Diceros bicornis minor: one gene and its partner. The protein of the gene in region 2 interacts with the protein of the main gene of each other region in a pairwise test. Links are inferred from orthologs where the notes say so. Each region holds a gene or a part of one and is shown on either strand. Other genes may lie near its edges. The genes, in order: CEBPE and CEBPG.

Region 1 (8,201 bases), on a different chromosome or scaffold from region 2:
TTGGTTTAGGATTTAGAGGGGTTTTTTAGTTTGTTTTGTGGAGGGCTTTTGTTTTTTTCTTTTAATGTAATAAAATTTAAAATGGAAATGAAGTTGGTGGTGTTGATAATTCAATGACCTTGTGAGACAGAGTTGCCAGGCATTTCCGGTCGCCCTCAGGAGGTCTTTGGTTGCCAGGTTCCTTCCAGGATGGCATTCCTCAGGGCCCTCCCTCTGTCCCAGGGACCCAGTGATAGCACTTCAAACAGCTCCCTTTTGTTTTGAACCAAAAACTTGCTCTCATTTCTTCTGTGAAGTCACGAAGTGTTAGTGAGTTCCCGCTCTGTGCTGAGAGCCTGCAAACTAGCTGGGAAGCAGAAACTCGTCGCTCCCCAAGGTGGGGACCTAGGCAACCAGGAGGCAGCATCAAGCTGAGTGGAGGGAGGTGGAGGCAGAGGTGGTCCCCAAGGCCCATCAGCAAAGGCTGCTGGCACCAGGACAGCCACAGCTGAATGAGAAAGGAAGGGAGGGGCTGAGTCTGTGGAAAGACCCAGAAGGGGACTTAGGAGAGTGCCAAGCTGGGTCGACAGGGCTTGATGGGAGGGCCAGGGAGGGGAGGCAGGGGGGTCCACACAGCTGTACAGAGCCTTCAGGAGGAAGATCTCTAGGTGGAAGACTAGGAGGACAAAGGAGGAAGTAGTTAAGGGAGGGACAAGTCTGGCCTGGTGCTTTGGGGTAATCGCTGGAGGAAGTTGAAGGGATTAGCCCCAGGCCTTGCTTGGAGTCCCTCCTGTGTGGGCAGCCCTCCGGGCCGCCTGTCCTGGGACAGCATCATTCCAGAGCCAGCACCGCTGACAGACGTGACAGAAGGGGTGTTAAGACATCACCCTCCACCAACTGGGACACTGTGAGGACACAGGCAGGCAAGATGCCTCCAGTCCCGTCCTGGCCCGGCCCCAACCCTCTTGCTTTGTGACGGGCGTTCTTCTAGACCAAGGCTGGAGGCTCGCCATTCACAGGGGCACAGACACTTGACTCGGAGTCCCAGGTCAGCCACTGAACAGCTGTGTGTCCTTGGGCAAGTCACTTCATCTATTTAGCACTTTTAGAGAGAAAAAAAGAAGAGTTGAACCTAATCTCAAAGTGTTCCTCAATCCCCCAATCCAAGGTTGTCCCAAAACAGCAAGGGCAGAACTGGGCAGAGCTAGTCCTGTGCAGGAGGCCTTTCTCCACCCCACGTCCACAGTTTGGGACCCCTCTCCCCCAACACACACTTTCCTATCCCTGGGCTGCCTGAGGTCTCCTCCATGTGGCCTCATTCCGGCAAGTCCAGCCCTCTCTCCCCAATCCCCTCTCACTCCCTGGAGACACTTGTCCCTGGGGCCCCTCCCTCTCTCTGTAAGGTGACACTTGCTGATCTTTTCAACCTGGTCAAATGGGCAAATATGGGTTTCCTCCTGGGCAACATGCATTTATTTTTAACCTGGGCCTTTACCCTGACTTAACCCTGTCAGTCACTTTAACGCTAGGAATTCAGATGCTCAGAACTTAGGGAATTTGGGAGCCTTTTGGAGGCTGAAATCATAGCTGCTTAAGCATTCACTTATTAATAAAGTCACACAACACATCTTTTTATAACCATGTGTCCAAGGATTTTGCTATATGCTGTAAGAATAGCAAACTTATCCCTGAATTTTCCAAATCATCACAGACTCCAAATATTTTGTGCCATTGTCTCCATAAGCACACTCATTTGTATCAATCCACCTGTCCTTAATTTTAATTCAGGCAACATGGTGACCATAGCTGAAGAGGTCCAAAAAATGTATCTGACCCTACCTTCAGGGAGGGTGTAGTCTACGGGGGAAAGACGGCAAGAAGGCCTGTGGTACATAAGTGTGCACTTCACAGCATCACTGACCGTCCACTCCAGCTGGGCTGTGAGCTGCTGCAGGCGGGGCTGAACTGCCTGATCTCCAGAGCCTGCCCAGTGCCTGGTACCTACGTGCTCAAAAACGCTTGTCAAGGCCAGCCTGGTGGCATAGTGGTTAAGTTTGGCACACTCCGCTTCAGCCGCCCAGGTTCACAGGTTTGGGTTCCCAGCACGGACCAACACTTCTCATCAAGCCATGCTGTGGCAGTGACCCACAAACAAAATAGAGGAAGATTGGCACAGATGTTCACTCAGGGCCAATCTTCCTCACCAAAAAAGAAAAAAGAGGAAGACTCACAACAGATGTTAGCTCAGGGCCAATCTTCCTGACACACACACAAAAAAATCAAAAATACATGTATAAAAAAAAACGCTTGTCAAATTGAGGCCTCAGAAGAGGCTGCAGAGAGTGTTTCTGTGTAGGAGACACAGATAAACCACAAGGGGCAGTTAGAGGAAGGGCGGAAGGAGACTGAACATTTACTGAGACCAATTGCTTTCCATACATTATCTTATTCAAAGTTTAATTCAACGACAGGACAAAGTAGGCATTACTACCGCCATTTTACATGTAAGATTAAGTAACTTGCCCAAGGTCACCTAGCGGGTAAGTGACAGAGGCGGGATTTGAGCCCAGTTCTGATACTTCACCACCATGCTCACCCCCTCCCTGTTGGAAAGTCTTGATGAAGGAGGTGGTGTTTGAACTGAGGCCTGTCCCAAAGTCACTAAGATAATACGCAGGCATTGTTCCAGTTCATGCAAACAGGTAGCAACAGCAGTGGCCTGGAGAAGAGGATCCTGCTGACCAGGGAGGGCTTCTTTCTGCTCCTGAATCCCCAACACTCCCCCAGCCCTGGACTGGCACTGCCCTCCCCACCCGCTTCCTGTCCAGTGCCCCCTCCTCTCCTGCCCCGACATCCAGAGCGCCGCCGCTGGCCCAGCCACACTCTCCACTCCTCGGTTACTGGGAAACACTGATGTCAGTGCGCCAGCGACGTCAGCCACCAGCCTGGAGATGAGGGACCGAGATCCCTTATCTCTATGGCCGAGCTTTCTCATTTCCTGCCAGCTCTATTTGCACACCTCCCTGCTTCCTCCAGCGCCGCATCACTGTCCACGCAGTCTCCCCGTCCCCCGCGGGGGGGTTGGGGGGGTGACTGAGGGCACAGAAGGCTCTCTGAGTCACACAGCTCCCCCTCTCCCTAGCCCCTCTTGCCTGGGGGTTTCAAGAACTAGGGCACTGCCCTTTTCCCCAAGATCAACGCATCCTTGTATGACCTTGGGCAGCTCAGCCTGGTTTCCTCGTGTATAAGGTAGGGGTAAAAATACTGTCTCTTTTGCTTACCTTCCAACTTAACGCACAGGGAAATGGTCAGCATGGAAAAGTATGTTTCAATGATTGGAGAAGCATAACACCAGAAAATGCCAGGCCTTAACCACCATCACTATTTCAAAGTTGGGGAGGGGATAAAATTTCTCCTCACTGAGACAAGGCCCTGGCCCCAGTGCTCTCAACCTGCCCACTCTGCGTGTAACTGCACCGCAAGCCCCCATCCTGGCCATGTTTCTTCTTCCTCCTCCATGGAGGCCCAGCCTTGCCTTGCCCGGGTCGGGGCTGTGGGAGGCTGCCCTCTGCCGTCCACCTGATTCCTGACCATGGCAGCCCCTCAGGGCCTGAATTTTGGACCAATATTTCCACCTGGTGGTCAAAAGAGGCACTGCCGCCACACAAGTAGCTCAGCTCTGGTACCTGTTTGCCACAGGGTCCTTCGAAATGAGGAGAAGGTAGAAATCTCCCCATCTGGTTCCTGAGACCCGTCTCAGGGATGCACGCAGATGTCCCCACGCCACGTCCGGGCTTTCAGAGAAAGTAGCTCAAGCCCCGCGAAGAGAGCTCTTGGGGTAGGTGTAGGGGTGGGAAGGAAGGGAGGAAGGAGGATGCTAACTAGTCTGACTTGTAGGCGGCCCTGTCTACGCTTGCAGACTTTATTTTAGCGTTCAACGCCGCACATATCCCCTCTGCATCTGCCCCGCTGGGGCCTGGCCTTGGTGTACCCGACTTATAAAACATTCTGGCCTCCACAGGGCCCTCACAGCATTTGCTGGTGATAAAAGAGCCAACGACACATTTCTATGTGTCCTGTCCTTTACACTGGACCTCGAGTCCCTTTTGTAGATGAAATTCGACAGGTGAAATCAGAGCCACAGCTGGTGCCTCTGGCAGGAGAGAGTGGGGCTTCCCAGAGGAAAAAGAAAAGGGAAGGAGGGAGGGAGCCCAGCAGGAGAGCAAAAGTACAGAGTGAACCCTGGGCTTCTCCTGGAGACCCTGAAACAAAGCCTCAGGAAGAGGTGATGACAAAAGAGAAGGCTTCTCAAGCCTCACAAGGGGAAGTGGACCAAGAGACACGCATCGAGGTCAGAGAACGGCCGTGCAGAAGGAAAGACAGCAAACCAAGCTGCAGAGCGCCTGAGCCCTGCGGCCCAGGGCACAGGAAATGGGGCAGAGCCTCAGGACCAGAGCAGGGCAGAGTGCCAGCCTGAGGCTCTAGCAGTGCAGGGCAGCTGGAAGAGGGAGGCACTGGGGCCACCAGAGGAGTGCAGCTCTCGGTTCCTGGGGCAGCAGGCTTCCCGGGCCTGGGGCACAGGGCCCAAGACCTGACCAGGCACCCCAGCCAGGCCCAGGCAGTCAGGGACAGTGCCAGACTGCTAGAGCTGGCCAGGGCTGGAAACATGTGAGGGTTTGGGCTATTGCACAGGCCCTGTGCAAAAACTGAGCAAATGAGCATGCTCTGCACCATGGTACAGGCCTCCTTGTAGAGCTTGGTCCCAGACCTTCACTGCTTCCTAAACCCCTCAAACAACATCCCTGGCCTGCACCCAGGAGAATGCCCTTGGAGGTGGGGCTACAAAAGGAACTCGCTGCCCCTGGGGGTAGGTGGAGCCCCGCACTGCGGGGGACCCAGAGGGAGGCGTGTCAAAGGAGGAGCTCAGATCAGGCTGGGGGTCGGCACTGGAAGAGGGTGTTCTCTGTTCATTCTGACTTGGCACCTCATTCTGCATAGAACTTTCTGGAAGTCAGAGGGAGGAGGACACTCAAGAGTGAGGTGTTGCCCTCAGCGAGGACTCTGGAATCCCCTGGACTCAACGGGAGGGGGAGGCATTCCCAGAAGCATCAGCTCCTGGGCATCTCAGAACCCTGGCTGGGACCCTGACCACAGAGTGCCCCCAACTGCTAAATAGGTCCGGGGCCCCATTGCTCTAAGGCCTGCATCCCTTCCTCCGGGGTACACCCTGCCCCTCCCTGAGTCAGCCCAGGGAGAGAGGGGAAAAAAGGGAAGAGAAAAGAAGCATTGACTACAGAGGAAGGAAAAGGAAACAGCAGAGGAGGGAGGAGAGAGGCCACACAGGAGTGGGTGACAGAGGAGATCGGAGAGGGCAGATCTAGAGCAGATCTAGGGCAGGGGGAGATCGAGACAGGGCAAGCCGAGCATCCCAAAGCGTGCCCCAAGAGCACAGCGGCGGGGGCGGGGAGCCCAGGGGGCGGGCCGGCATGTCCCACGGGACCTACTACGAGTGTGAGCCCCGGGCTGGCCAGCAGCCACTCGAGTTCTCAGGGGGCCGAGCGGGGCCTGGGGAGCTGGGGGACATGTGTGAGCATGAGGCCTCCATCGACCTCTCCGCCTACATCGAGTCTGGGGAGGAGCAGCTCCTCTCTGACCTCTTCGCTGTGAAGCCTGCACCTGAGGCCCGAGGCCTTAAGGGCTCCGGAACCCCTGCCTTCCCCCACTACCTGCCGCCTGACCCGCGGCCCTTCGCCTACCCCCCACATACCTTCGGCCCTGACAGGAAGGCGCTGGGGCCTGGCATCTACAGCAGCCCAGGGAACTACGACCCCAGGGCTGTGGCCGTGAAGGAGGAGCCTCGGGGGCCAGAGGGCAGTCGAGGGGCCAGCCGCAGCGGCTACAATCCTCTGCAGTACCAAGTGGCGCACTGTGGGCAGACGGCCATGCACCTGCCCCCGGCCCTGGCAGCACCCAGCCAGCCCCTGCGTGTCCTCAAGGTAAGAACAGGTCAATTCTCCTCCTGCCACCCCGGGGCTGCAGAGATGCCCCTCTGGATGGGGGATCTCTGAGCTCCCTGCTTACCTAACGGGTCTGTGTTTGGTGTTGCTCTGCGAAATTACCCTCCCCACAGCCCTCCGTGCTCACCACCGAACCACGACCCCTCTTTGCTTCTCTGTGAATTCACTCCCACCCCAAACCTCACCATGTGGCTGGAACCCAACATGTCTGCAGCCCTTGTGGCCAGCTGACCTGCCCTGACCTCTGGCCCCCCACCAGCTTGCTGCACTCCTCTTGTTTCTCTGCCTCCTGCTTCTAGAAGAAGAAATGCCTGCTGATCGTAGAACTGGAGACTCAAGATAGATTGAAAGAAAGTGTCCTCAGAGAGTGTGGGAACATGACAGGAGTTTGAGTCAGAGCAGAGGACCCTCTGCATCTGGCAGGGCACGGGCTGTCCTGACTGGGAGCCAGGAGCCTGCTCTGAACCCCATATCCCTTTGATGCCCAAGAGTGCTCTGGCTGCTGGGACTCCCGCCCTGCCTCCACTCTGCTTGCCAGCCAGCTGTCACCTCTTCCCTCTGTGTCTTCCTCTCCAGGCCCCTTTGGCCGCTGCTGCGCCGCCCTGCAGCCCCCTCCTCAAAGCGCCCTCCCCAGCCGGCCCCTCGCACAAGGGCAAGAAGGCGGTGAACAAGGACAGCCTGGAGTACCGGCTGCGGCGGGAGCGGAACAACATCGCTGTGCGCAAGAGCCGGGACAAGGCCAAGAGGCGCATTCTGGAGACGCAGCAGAAGGTGCTGGAGTACATGGCAGAGAACGAGCGGCTCCGCAGCCGCGTGGAGCAGCTGACCCAGGAGCTGGACACCCTTCGCAACCTCTTCCGCCAGATCCCTGAGGCCGCCAACCTCATCAAGGGCGTTGGGGGCTGCAGCTAAGCCCGGCTGGCAGACTGTGGGCACCAGCCCCGTGGCCCAGTTTGACCGTGGGAACTCCCACCCTGCTGGGGTCCTAGAGCCCCTCACAGGCCGAGCCTGAGACACAGACATGGACAAACGGCAGCGGGTGGCAAGGGAGGAGGGCAGGCCCCAGCGTGATGGTTCTGTGGCTGAATAAAATTACACCATGACTCAGTGCTGGGGCTGTACACTGGACCTGTGTGTGTGTGCGTGTGTGTGTGTGTGTGTGTGTGTGTGTGTGTTTGCATGTGTGGCATGGGGGACTCCAAGGGTGGTGAATGCATGTGGCTAGGTGTGCATACTTATTGATTCCATGCCCAAATGAGTATTCAGGAATATTCCCAAATATTCAGCAGACATGCTGCCCACAGCTCTCCACCAACACACCACATGGCCAGGCTGGTGTCTGTCACTCTGCTCTTCTGTCCCCCTCTTCCCCGGCCCAGTCTGTCCTTCTGGACACTGAAGGCACCCCCACCCCCACCTCCCACAGGACCTGGAGTGGCCTCTAGATACTCTCCTGACGGAGCTCTGTGGCTTGCAGGGAGACCCCAGCACCACCCAGTCCTCTATGCCAGGCCTGCTGACCCTAGCCCTGCTCTCTTACCTTGAGGTATAAGTCTGGGAGCTCCTGCCCCAGGTGACCAAGGGAAAATTCTAGATGGCTCTGCCATATTTATGGTCCCTTAGCTCTTGATCCAGGACTCGATCCCTTCTCTCCAGTTCCTCAGCTTTAGTCCACCAGACTGATATCCCCCCATGGCTCCCACGCACTCGCCCCCATCTTTGTCCCTCATCCCCTGGGGCTGGGGAATGAGAAAACTGATCATGAGGAGGATGACAACCACCTGTGCCAGTGAGCCCCCACGTTCAAAGCACTGTCCTTTCCATAGAACTCTAGTCTGAGGGACACCAGAGTTCAGTGCTTGAGAGCTTCGGTTTGACTCTCCCTCTGCTATGTACTAGGTGTGTGACCTCGGGCCAGTTACTCCTCTCCATGCCTCAGGTTCCTCATCTGCAAAATGGGAGGCGAAAGAGCACCTGCCTCACAGTGCTGTTATGTTCATAGGTAAACAGGGCCCGGCCTGTGTAAGCAGGCATAGTTGTTGTTATTCCAATTTTAGAGGGCTGAAAAGACCTTAGAGATCTCATCTAAACTTCTCATTTGGCAAGTGAGGAAACTGAGGCCTCAGAGAGGGGGAGGGACACGATTGGTTTGAGGCAGGACCAAAATTAGCTCCCTAAAATCACAGATGTCAAGAGGGGCTGAAA
Region 2 (9,677 bases):
ACATTGTACAGTTTACACTGTCATTTGTGCTTCTGTTCCTTCCACAAACATTTATTGAGCACCTCCAGTGAGCAAAAAAATAAGTTTATTTCAAATCTGTGTATTCAACCCTAAATGAAAGTCTGGCTACTATGGGGACAAATACTATTCCAAAGTTCAGTCCACAGGAAGCAGGGTGGCACCCTGTTTCCTTGCATGTGAATCATTCAAGCAGGAAGCAGTAGAAAAACTGAAGAGCAGTAGTTCTCAAAGTGTGGTCCCTGGACCAGCAGCAGCATCATTTGGGAACTTGTTTGAAGTGCAAATTCTCAGGCTGGCCCAGACCTAGGAATGAGGAGCTCTAGGAACAGGGCTAAGCAATCTTGTTTTAATGGGACCTCCAAGTGATTCTGATGACACTGAAGTTTGGGCACCACTGCTACACATTAACAATGGATCTTAAGAAAGAAGGCCTGAGTGGGTAACATTTTTTTTAATTCAAATTTCTTAATCTGAGTAATGTTCATGCAAATCAAGAACACACTGAAAACTCAGAATGTTAGAATGAGTAAAACAAAATCAAATTTTTCTCAAATTTCATTTGAGATAATAAACCTGTCAAGAATTTTCCTAACCCTCTTTACTTTTTTCACATATGTACAGATATTCTTCCCCCAGCCCCCCAAAATAAATTTTTCACTCTAATTTCCTCAGTGAAGATCTACATTCCAAAATATTCATAGATGTTTCTCCCTTGCTCCAAATCTGTTCAATCATTAGTATCTGACAATTCTACCCACCTTCCCCCCCCCCCCAAAAAAAACATCCACCATCCCTCTCCATCCCACTGCCACAGAATTACCTCAGGCTGACATCATCTCTCAGGGGCACTAGTCTCCTCTGGTTTAGCAGTGTTCCCTCCAACCACTGTCTCCAGAGCAATCTAGCACTCAAACCTGAGTGTGTCACAACCTCTTGCTGAAAAGTCTTCTGTGGCTCAGGCATAGAGGATCAAATCCAAGGTGTTAACCTCTCTCTAGCCTCTGCTCCCTTATACTTCACACCTCAATGATACTAAACCATTATCAGTCCCCTAAATGGTCTGTGCTTTCTGTTTTCTTTGTGCTTCTGTCCAATTTTCTTCTGTCCCCAGTTTCTTTGTCAATGCCAGCTCTACAGTGTATCTCCCTGTAGACTAAGCTGGAGGCAGGACTCTCGTCTTCGCCACATGCCCAGCATCTAGTGCAGAGCTAGGTGTATATAGTGGTGCTCAACAAATATTTGCTGAATACAGGCTCAAAAGCCTAAGAGAAAACATTTATTTTTATAAATGTCATATAAAAATGAGACTCTCTAGCATTGAAATCTCTTAAAACAACCGCAATTAAATCAAAAGAGTGTTACTAAGATATTATGGTCTTGCTACCTAAAGTTTTTGGTCTTTCTTAAAAGTGTACAGAAAAATAAAAATAAGTTCTATTTGCTATTAAGTCCCTAGTCTGTACAGTGAACATCATTCGTGTCTGGTCTTTGCTTCATTTCAGTTTAGAACCTTTATTTTCTACTTAGCCCAGTTATGTTCTCCAATTAATAACCTCAAGTTCTTAGGCATGTATGGCAGGATCTGCCAACTCTGTACTACAAGTGAAGTCAAGGTAAGCAAAGTCAACAGACACCCAAACGAGCAGGATTTCTATTCAGTTGCCACTGCTTGCTTCATGACCCAAAACAGGGGTCCATGAAGGAGGGTACATCCCTTCAGGGAATACATTAAGTGGTCCACTGGAGTAGGAGAAAAAAATGTACATTCAGCTTTTTTTAATGTCATCTTTCTACTTTTGGTGTGATTTATAACATACAAAAAAAATAATACACACACATTGTTTATAAATATACAGTAGGCGGTCATGGTCAATTTTCATTTTTATTTTTATTTTTTTTTACTGACAGGGCTGGAAAGCCAAAAAGGTAGAAGATCAATGTACCTACCAGTACGAGAACCCACAGAAGCACCTCCTCCCCAAAATACACAATAAACCTGGAATTGTGACTTCCTGCATTTACCATTACTGTGATCAGGTGAGGCAAGCTTAGGCCATAAGACCATATTCAGCCCCATGAGGTCCTATTTGTCTTTACCAGGGACTCATCACTTGCTGTTTAAATCTCTTGGGATGAAACCACCTGTCCATGATCAGACAACCTCGCTAACAGTCATGATGTACTCTTGAGAATTTAAAGCATAATCTGAAAAATGAAGTTTTGTTTCCACCTATGTTTTTAGGGATATTAAAAAGGACTGAATCAGCTAAGTGCAGCCACCAGAAGCAGGAATCAAGAAACTGAAAAATTCTTCAGCTCACTAGCATCCTGTAACTATTTAACCTTGTTTACCGTAAGTTTTTCCAGAAACAGAGAATCAACTTTCAGAAGAGCTTATCCCAAATACTACTCGAAGGGTAACAGCTGACCAGATTTTAACTTTTAAGTATCAAGAACTTTTAGATGCAGAATTTCTTAGTAAAGCAAGCCCTTATAGTATTTTATTGCCAAAATTTCTCTCGGAGTTACATATCCTATCTGAATTAAAAGACAATCTCTTCAAATAACGATTTGACAGAGCGTAGGACCGACTGAGTGTGGGCTCCGAGGAAGAACTACCAATTTTTGTGCAACCCACCAATGTTAAAATCTTTCTCGAAGTGACACATTTTAAGATGCCAGATTCCAGCAGAAACCTCAGGAGGCAAACCACATACTTAAACCTTCCGTAGAACAGAAACATACAAGCTTACCTGTAGGAACATTCTATCCTTCCCCCCAAACACGCATGTGCATCCTCTCCATCTAGACACCTCTGCGAGCTATTCTCCCGTGTTCCCTCCAACCGTGCTAACGAGGCGCTGCATCTCTCGCCCTCCTGTTTCCCATTCACCCGTGGGTGCTGCACGTTCATCTATCCTAAGTTCAACAGTGAATTGCAGGATATTCAAATTACAGCCCCAGAAGAAAGCATATTATTATTTCTGTAAAGTCTTGTATTTAAAAAGCAACTTCTTCCCCTCACTACTTGCTCCTTCTAGTACCTTCTGAACACAATCCCCCACCAGCCCGCATCGAGCAGCTTCGTGGGGGCAGGATCTATCCTACGTGCCACTCAAGTGGGATACGGTCCCCCTTCTGCTATTCTGGGAACACCCTTTATCCCCAGAGGCCAATACGAGCCCCGTCACAGCCGGACGGCACGCAGGGCCGACTTCCGGAGGGGCACACCTCGACTCCCTCCCGTCCGGGCCGGCAGCGAGGGGCGCCCGGGGAGCGCGGGGGTCGGCGGGCGGCGCGGCGGCGCTGGGCCGCGGCCAGGGATGAGCTCAGCGGCCCCGCCGGGTGTTGCCGGCAGGTTGCATCAGACGCCGCGCGGGGCCGGCCCCCTCGGGCCGGGCCGGGTCTCCTCGGGCCAGGCCCAAGCGCACGCAAGCGGCCGGCTCCGCCGCGGCCTCCTCCTCCCCGTCAGCTCGCCCGCCCGCCCTCGACCTCCTTACCTGCGCCTCCAGCCCGCCCGCCCCCAGGCGGCCTCCACTCCGAGCGGCCCCGCGCGCCGCGGCCCAACCCGAGCCAGGCCTAGTAGCCTGCGAGTCACCGAGGACAAGCGACGGTTACGAAACCGGCAGCCTCCGCCCGTTCCGCCGCCGCCGCCACCGGCTTCCCCTCCTCGCCGGGGCCGCGCGCGCTGCCGCCGCCGCGTCAAGGACCAATGGGAGCGCCGGCCTGCAGGCGACGCGCCCGCCCCTCGCGACAGGCAGCGCCGCCAGCCAATCGGGAGCGGTCTGGCTGCGGGAGGCGGGCACGTGGCGGAGGCGTCCACCACGGCGCAGCGGAGTGGGCGGATGTGGCGGGAGGTGACGGTCTGCCTCGGCGCCGCCCGGGGTTCCTGCGCCGTTGGAGCGGGGCTGCGGCCCGGAGCTGTGGAGACCCGCGGCGAGAAAGGGTCTGTCAACGTTGGAGGCAACACCTGTCTTTGGAAAGCACCATTTCCTGAGGTGGTGTTTTGAATCAGCGGTTTCTGTTTTGGTTTCCCCACGGCCTCGGGGAGCCCCCTCGGCGTCCTCACGGGGACAGTTTCCCGGGACGTGGGGCACCCAACGGGCCCGCGCCCTCGGAGGGAGCCTGCAGAGAAGGCCTGGACCTCACAGCCGTTAAGGCAACTGCAAACTTGTTAAAAAACGAACGAAGCAAAATCTTCCCAACGTAGTATTGATGTCACGTTGGCGGACACTGCGGACTGTGGTTCGCTGAAACGGGGAAACGAATGGAATTTCCATGATCGATTCCCCTGTGCTGTCTTCCAGATTGAGATGTGATCTCCAAAAATGAATGGCAATCCCGCTTTATTTATCCAAGATAATTCACAGGCGGATCTGAAAGCGCTTTAAAACCAGGAAGCAGTGTGCTGGGTAGAGGACAGAGCCGGCGATAGGTTTGATTGCTTCCTCTTGAGCAACTCCTGTTGTCCAAAAAATAGAGTCTTTGAAAGAGGAAACGTTTCTTCATCGCCCAGGCCATGGCACCAGCTCTCTGCATAGGACTGTTTCGAGGAATCATAAAGAGATGATAAAACATTTGCAAAAAATAAAGTAAAAATAAAAAGGGCTGCAACTAAAAGTGAACCACGATGACCATAGAAGCACACTTGCTGGAGTGACACAATATCATCAAAAGCAGCATGTTTCTTTCACTTTGGCCCTCAGTGTTCTTAGCTGAAATTTCTTTGATCAAGATTTTAGCACTATTAAAGTTGGATTATATTTTGTTGCTCACAAAATCATAATTTTACCCTCACTATTTTCTAATCTCTTAAAAATTGTATGGAAAAAAATCATATTGGTATATTCATTTATCCTCTAGTTTGCTAGCCACTCTGCCAAGCTGCTCTAGCATTTTCTGTGTCTATCTGGACAGGCCGCCTTCCACACTCAGCAAGTCTAGCCAATGCCAAGGAGACTAGAGTGTTTATTTCCTCTTCAACTGGTAGCTGGTAATTCTTTCTTCTCAGTTTACAAATATTTATTTGGTGCCAACTATGTGCTAGCTGTGGGCCAAGTGCTGGGGATTCAGCAATGAACACAACAAACACAGTCCCTGCCCACATGGAGCTTACACTTAGAGCCAAGGGAAGCAGACATTCAGTAATGACACAATTTTCTATAACCATTTTCATAGATACTACAAGAAAGACGTACACAGTGCTGTGAGAGATTATAAAACGGGATCAAAACCTGGTCTATGGGTCAGGGAAGGCCTAAAAGATGAGTGGAGTTTGGCTCCGTGGCACAGACGAAGTGGATGTGCCAGTCAGAGGGAATGTCTTATCTAAAGGTCTTGTGATGGGAGAAATGTAAGGCCAGAGTGACTGAACCACGGTGTCCCCGTTAGACTGTGAGATAGGCAGGGCCTAGAAGCGTTCTGATTTTTACCATAAGAGAGATGGAAAGCCATCTCTTAACTTGCTCTCCCCATAAAGAAGTGAGGAGAGTCTGGTGGAGGCTATCTCCAGGTTGAGGAGATCCACCATATTGCTTTCTTGTAAGTCACAGGGACCCAAGCCATCATAATAAAAGAAAAATTTCCTGCAGAGATCTCTGCCTCACTGATACCCAATACATATTCTACAAATCCAAAGAATTTGTAAACAAGTAGTACATTAAAATCCCCTCCAAATGACTTGAGAAGTAGGATGTCCTATTAACTGAACATGCTAGTGACCTGACAGCTACTATGATTAACGACCTTAGTTACCTAAGAGGTATGGACTCTAGTGTCAGGCTATTCTGTCCACAGCTTCACCTCTTACTGGTTGTGTGACCTCAAACAAATTACTTGACCTCTGAGTCAACTGTGAATGGGGATAACAACAGTATCTACCTAATAGGATTGCTGTGAGGATTAAAGGAGTTAATATGTTAGGCTCCTAGAACAATGCCTGCCTGGTCCATGGTAGGAGCAAAGTGTTAGCTGTTAATACCATGATGCTCATATGTGAATTATAAACAAATTATATCCATAGAATTGTAGTAGACTAAAATGAACTTCAAAACAGGGTGCTTAACATTGCTTTGATGATTCAGGCACTGAAATATACACAATATTGAGGGTGTTGATGCTGACCCTTTGGTGTATCCCAAAAGATGTTTTTTAGAATAGTTCTTTTAGTTGCCACATCTTATCATTTCATTTGTTTCTATAAAGTAGAATGGAGGAAAAATTTAATAATTTGAAATCTCTTGTTTGAAAGCCAGATCAATAGACAGTTACTATGCAAACAAGTATTTGTCTTAAATGTGCCTTAAGTACTTAATGATAATACTTAGGTATCTAGCATAAATGTGTATTTGGAAAGTTTCTGAAAAATTAGTATACCAAATTAACCACCTTTGACAGGAGATCTGGACCATGTCTATAATATTTTGAGAATTGAGATGATGTCTGTCACAGGTTTGAATCTCAGTAGATATTGATTGTGTTATATTAGCAATAATGTGACAGTGATTGTCAATCATTCTGCATTGCTTAGGGTTCTTTTGATTGGAAGTAACTGAAAACCATCCCTGACTAGCCTTAGCGTAAAGAAGGACATGGTCAAAGGTTATAGGACACTCTTCATGAAGTACCAGGCCACATCAGAACCAAGACCTGAAATGCTCAAATGTCTTCATGTCTGTCTCTGTCTCTCTGTCTCTGTGTGTGTATGTGTGTGTGCACATGCCTATTGGTTTCATTATTCTTTCTGCTTGCTTCTTTCTTCACATGGCCAATGACATCCTCAATGTTCACAGCTTTGGTCACTAGAGAAAGGCCAACTAAATCCCTTTCTAAGTTCTTGTTACAAAAATCCTTAGGCAAGGACTCTGGGATTGGCCCAGCTGAGCAGTGTGCTCATACCCGGAATGATCAAATAACCGGGAACAAATCACGATGTACTAACATGGCAGCTACGGAGGGGATGGCAGAGGCACTTCCCAGAGGAAAAGAGAGTGCTGAGCAGACGAATCCATTAATATCCATTTCAAATGTCAGATCACACTGGTCACTCTAATGGATCCTTAGTCACCCTGGCTGACTGATTTGTTCTTTCCCACGTGATATGATCCCTATCTTGAGGGGAAAATTTAAACCTCCAATTTTACCTTTAGAAGCACTATTTGGAATCATAACAGCTAAGATGCTAAATAGTTGTCTTAGGACATTTCCAAATTTCAAAAGCAGGTCCTATGCATGAAGAGAAAAATCTGACATAGCTTAAACTTGAACAGTTAGCAAATACTGTGAATGTCTATCATAAAGCATTTTTCCATGTGTCAGATTTTGTTAGCCTGTGAGTTAAGACATGTCATCTGTGCACTTAAGAATCGTACTTGTCATCTGTGTGCACAAGGATAGATGTGTACCATGTGATTATATGAAGACAGTGCAGATCATCCACACACATGAGGAGAGCTACATGCATCTGTGCACATGAGGCTAGGTGCCTGTCGCCTGGGCATATAATGATAGGTATTCGTCATCTGTGCACATAAGAGAGGGGGTGACATCTGTGCACATCAAGAGAGGTAATCTGGATCTTTTGTGGGCCCAAGAGGGTCTTATTATCACATATCTTCACTCCACAGAATAAGCACTAATTACCTGTTACATAGTTATTGTAATGCAAATTATTCCAGTGCCTATGAAGTACCAAACCAAAGATAAATGAGGTGGGGTTTTTTTGGTTTGTATATTTGTGATATATGTGACACCAGTCTCCATCATGGCAGTATGATGGGCTTTGGAGACAGAACAGGGTGATGTTGGCTAGCATTTAACCTAGCCAACCTAGGTTTAACCTGTTCCTCATCTGTAGAGAGGGTTGACAGTAAATACCTCATAGAATTGTTACGAGGATTAAGTAAGTTGACATGAAAAGAAGATCGCATAGTGCCTAGCACGTAGGAGGCACAAAATAGTTTGTCCATCCAAAGAGAATTTGTTACCTAGGTCCCCGTTCTTAGTTTCTAATACCATTCTTTAATAAAAGGAACTGAGCTCCTTGGAGAAATGGCTGATTCTAGGATTGAGGCAGGAAATATACAGGATAAGCCTGGAGCATCTTGCAGTACCAGAAAGTAAGGAAGTACTCAAAAAGCAAAACAATGGTGGTATGTGCCTTAGGTCAGGCTGCTATAACAAAGTATCATAGACTAGGTGGCTTAAACCACAGAAAATAGCATTCACCCTCTTTGATCTTCCTCCCAAGAACTCAAAACCCCAATCAAATGAGACAAACACCAGACAAATTCCAATAGAAGGCTGACAAGTCCAAGATCAAGAAGCAAGCAAGGTAGATTTTATTCTGAGGCCTCTTCTCTTGGTTTGTAGGCAGCCGCCATCTCCCTGTGTGCTCATGTGACCTGTTAGTGCGCATGCGGGGAGAGAGAGAGAGCAAGCTGTCTGGTGTCTCGTCTTATAAGGGCACTAATCCCATCAAAAGAGGGCCTTCAGGAACTCATCTAACCCTAATTCCCTCCCAAAGGCCCCATTTCTAAATACCATCATACTTGGGATTAGTGATTCCTTCAACATAGGAATGTAGGGGGGGCACAAACATTCAGTCCATTATAGGATGTCAAAGAGTCACAGGACCCAAATGAAAGAGCCCCCAGCACCCAAAGAGCCCCCACGCCAATTTGAGGGGCAAAATAAATAATGTAGTATTGCATCATAATCCAAAGTATAAAATAAATATCCCTGAGTCCATGTTGATATAAATAAATGATTGAGTAAATAAATAAATGTCGGAGAAGAGACAACTCTCCCATGTAGAAGAATTCCAAATAATCTATGTAGATACTCCACCCTCAGATGGAGGAGCGTAACTCTCCACTCCTTAAGTGTAGGCTGCACATGGTGACTTCCTTCTGAAGAGCAGAGCATGAAAGGGAAAAATAAAGAGGAACTGTACAGTGGAGAAACCTGATAAATGCTACTTACTACAGCCAGGTGATCAAGGTCAATTTCAATAGTCATAAACCATGTTGACATAATAAGATGAAAATGTCACTTGACCTCTTTGATCTTCCTTCCAAGAACTCAAAACCCCAGTCAAATGAGACAAACACCAGACAAATTCCACTAGAAGGGCATTCTACAAAATACCTGACCAGTATTCCTCAAAACTGTCAAGGTCATCAAAAACAAAGAAAGTCAGAGGAAATGTGACGGTCTGGAGAATCCTAAGGGATGTGATGACTACATGTAATGTGGTATCCTGGATGGGATCCTGGAACAGAGAAAGGACATTGGGTAGAAACTAAAAAAAATCAAATAAAGTATAGACTTTATTTAATTTATTTGATAATGTATAAATATTGGCTCATTAATTGTAACAAATATACTAATGTAAGATAATAATAGGGGAAATTGGGTGCAGGGTAAATGGGAAATCTCAGCACTATCTTCTCAATATTTTGCAAATCTAAAATTGTTCTAAAAATGAAGTCTATTTAGGAAAAAAAGCATTTGAGGTGCACTGCAGTGTTAACATTCACTTAAAACAGGACACTTTAAAGCATTAACAAATCAGAGTAAGCCCAGACTTGAGCCAACTCAGTAAAGAAGTTGAGCCCAGCAGAAGAGCCTTGAGCCCCACTTCTTACCTTGACCAC

Evidence for each region.
Region 1: the proteins of CEBPG (region 2) and CEBPE interact in a two-hybrid assay, tested with the Homo sapiens proteins (2 studies listed by BioGRID and IntAct, with this or other methods). The link is inferred for Diceros bicornis minor from reciprocal best matches to the Homo sapiens genes CEBPG and CEBPE.

The regions. Positions count from the first base shown.
Region 1 is NC_080744.1:24,654,136-24,662,336, forward strand, and holds CEBPE (CCAAT/enhancer-binding protein epsilon), read left to right. Parts: upstream 1-4,909; 5' UTR 4,910-5,465; coding exon 5,466-5,975; intron 5,976-6,572; coding exon 6,573-6,908; 3' UTR 6,909-7,088; downstream 7,089-8,201. UniProt on the Homo sapiens protein: Transcriptional activator. C/EBP are DNA-binding proteins that recognize two different motifs: the CCAAT homology common to many promoters and the enhanced core homology common to many enhancers.
Region 2 is NC_080773.1:7,002,494-7,012,170, reverse strand, and holds the start of CEBPG (CCAAT/enhancer-binding protein gamma), read right to left. Parts: upstream 3,677-9,677; 5' UTR 3,522-3,676; intron 3,192-3,521; exon of another isoform or gene 2,775-3,191; intron 1-2,774. UniProt on the Homo sapiens protein: Transcription factor that binds to the promoter and the enhancer regions of target genes. Binds to the enhancer element PRE-I (positive regulatory element-I) of the IL-4 gene. Binds to the promoter and the enhancer of the immunoglobulin heavy chain.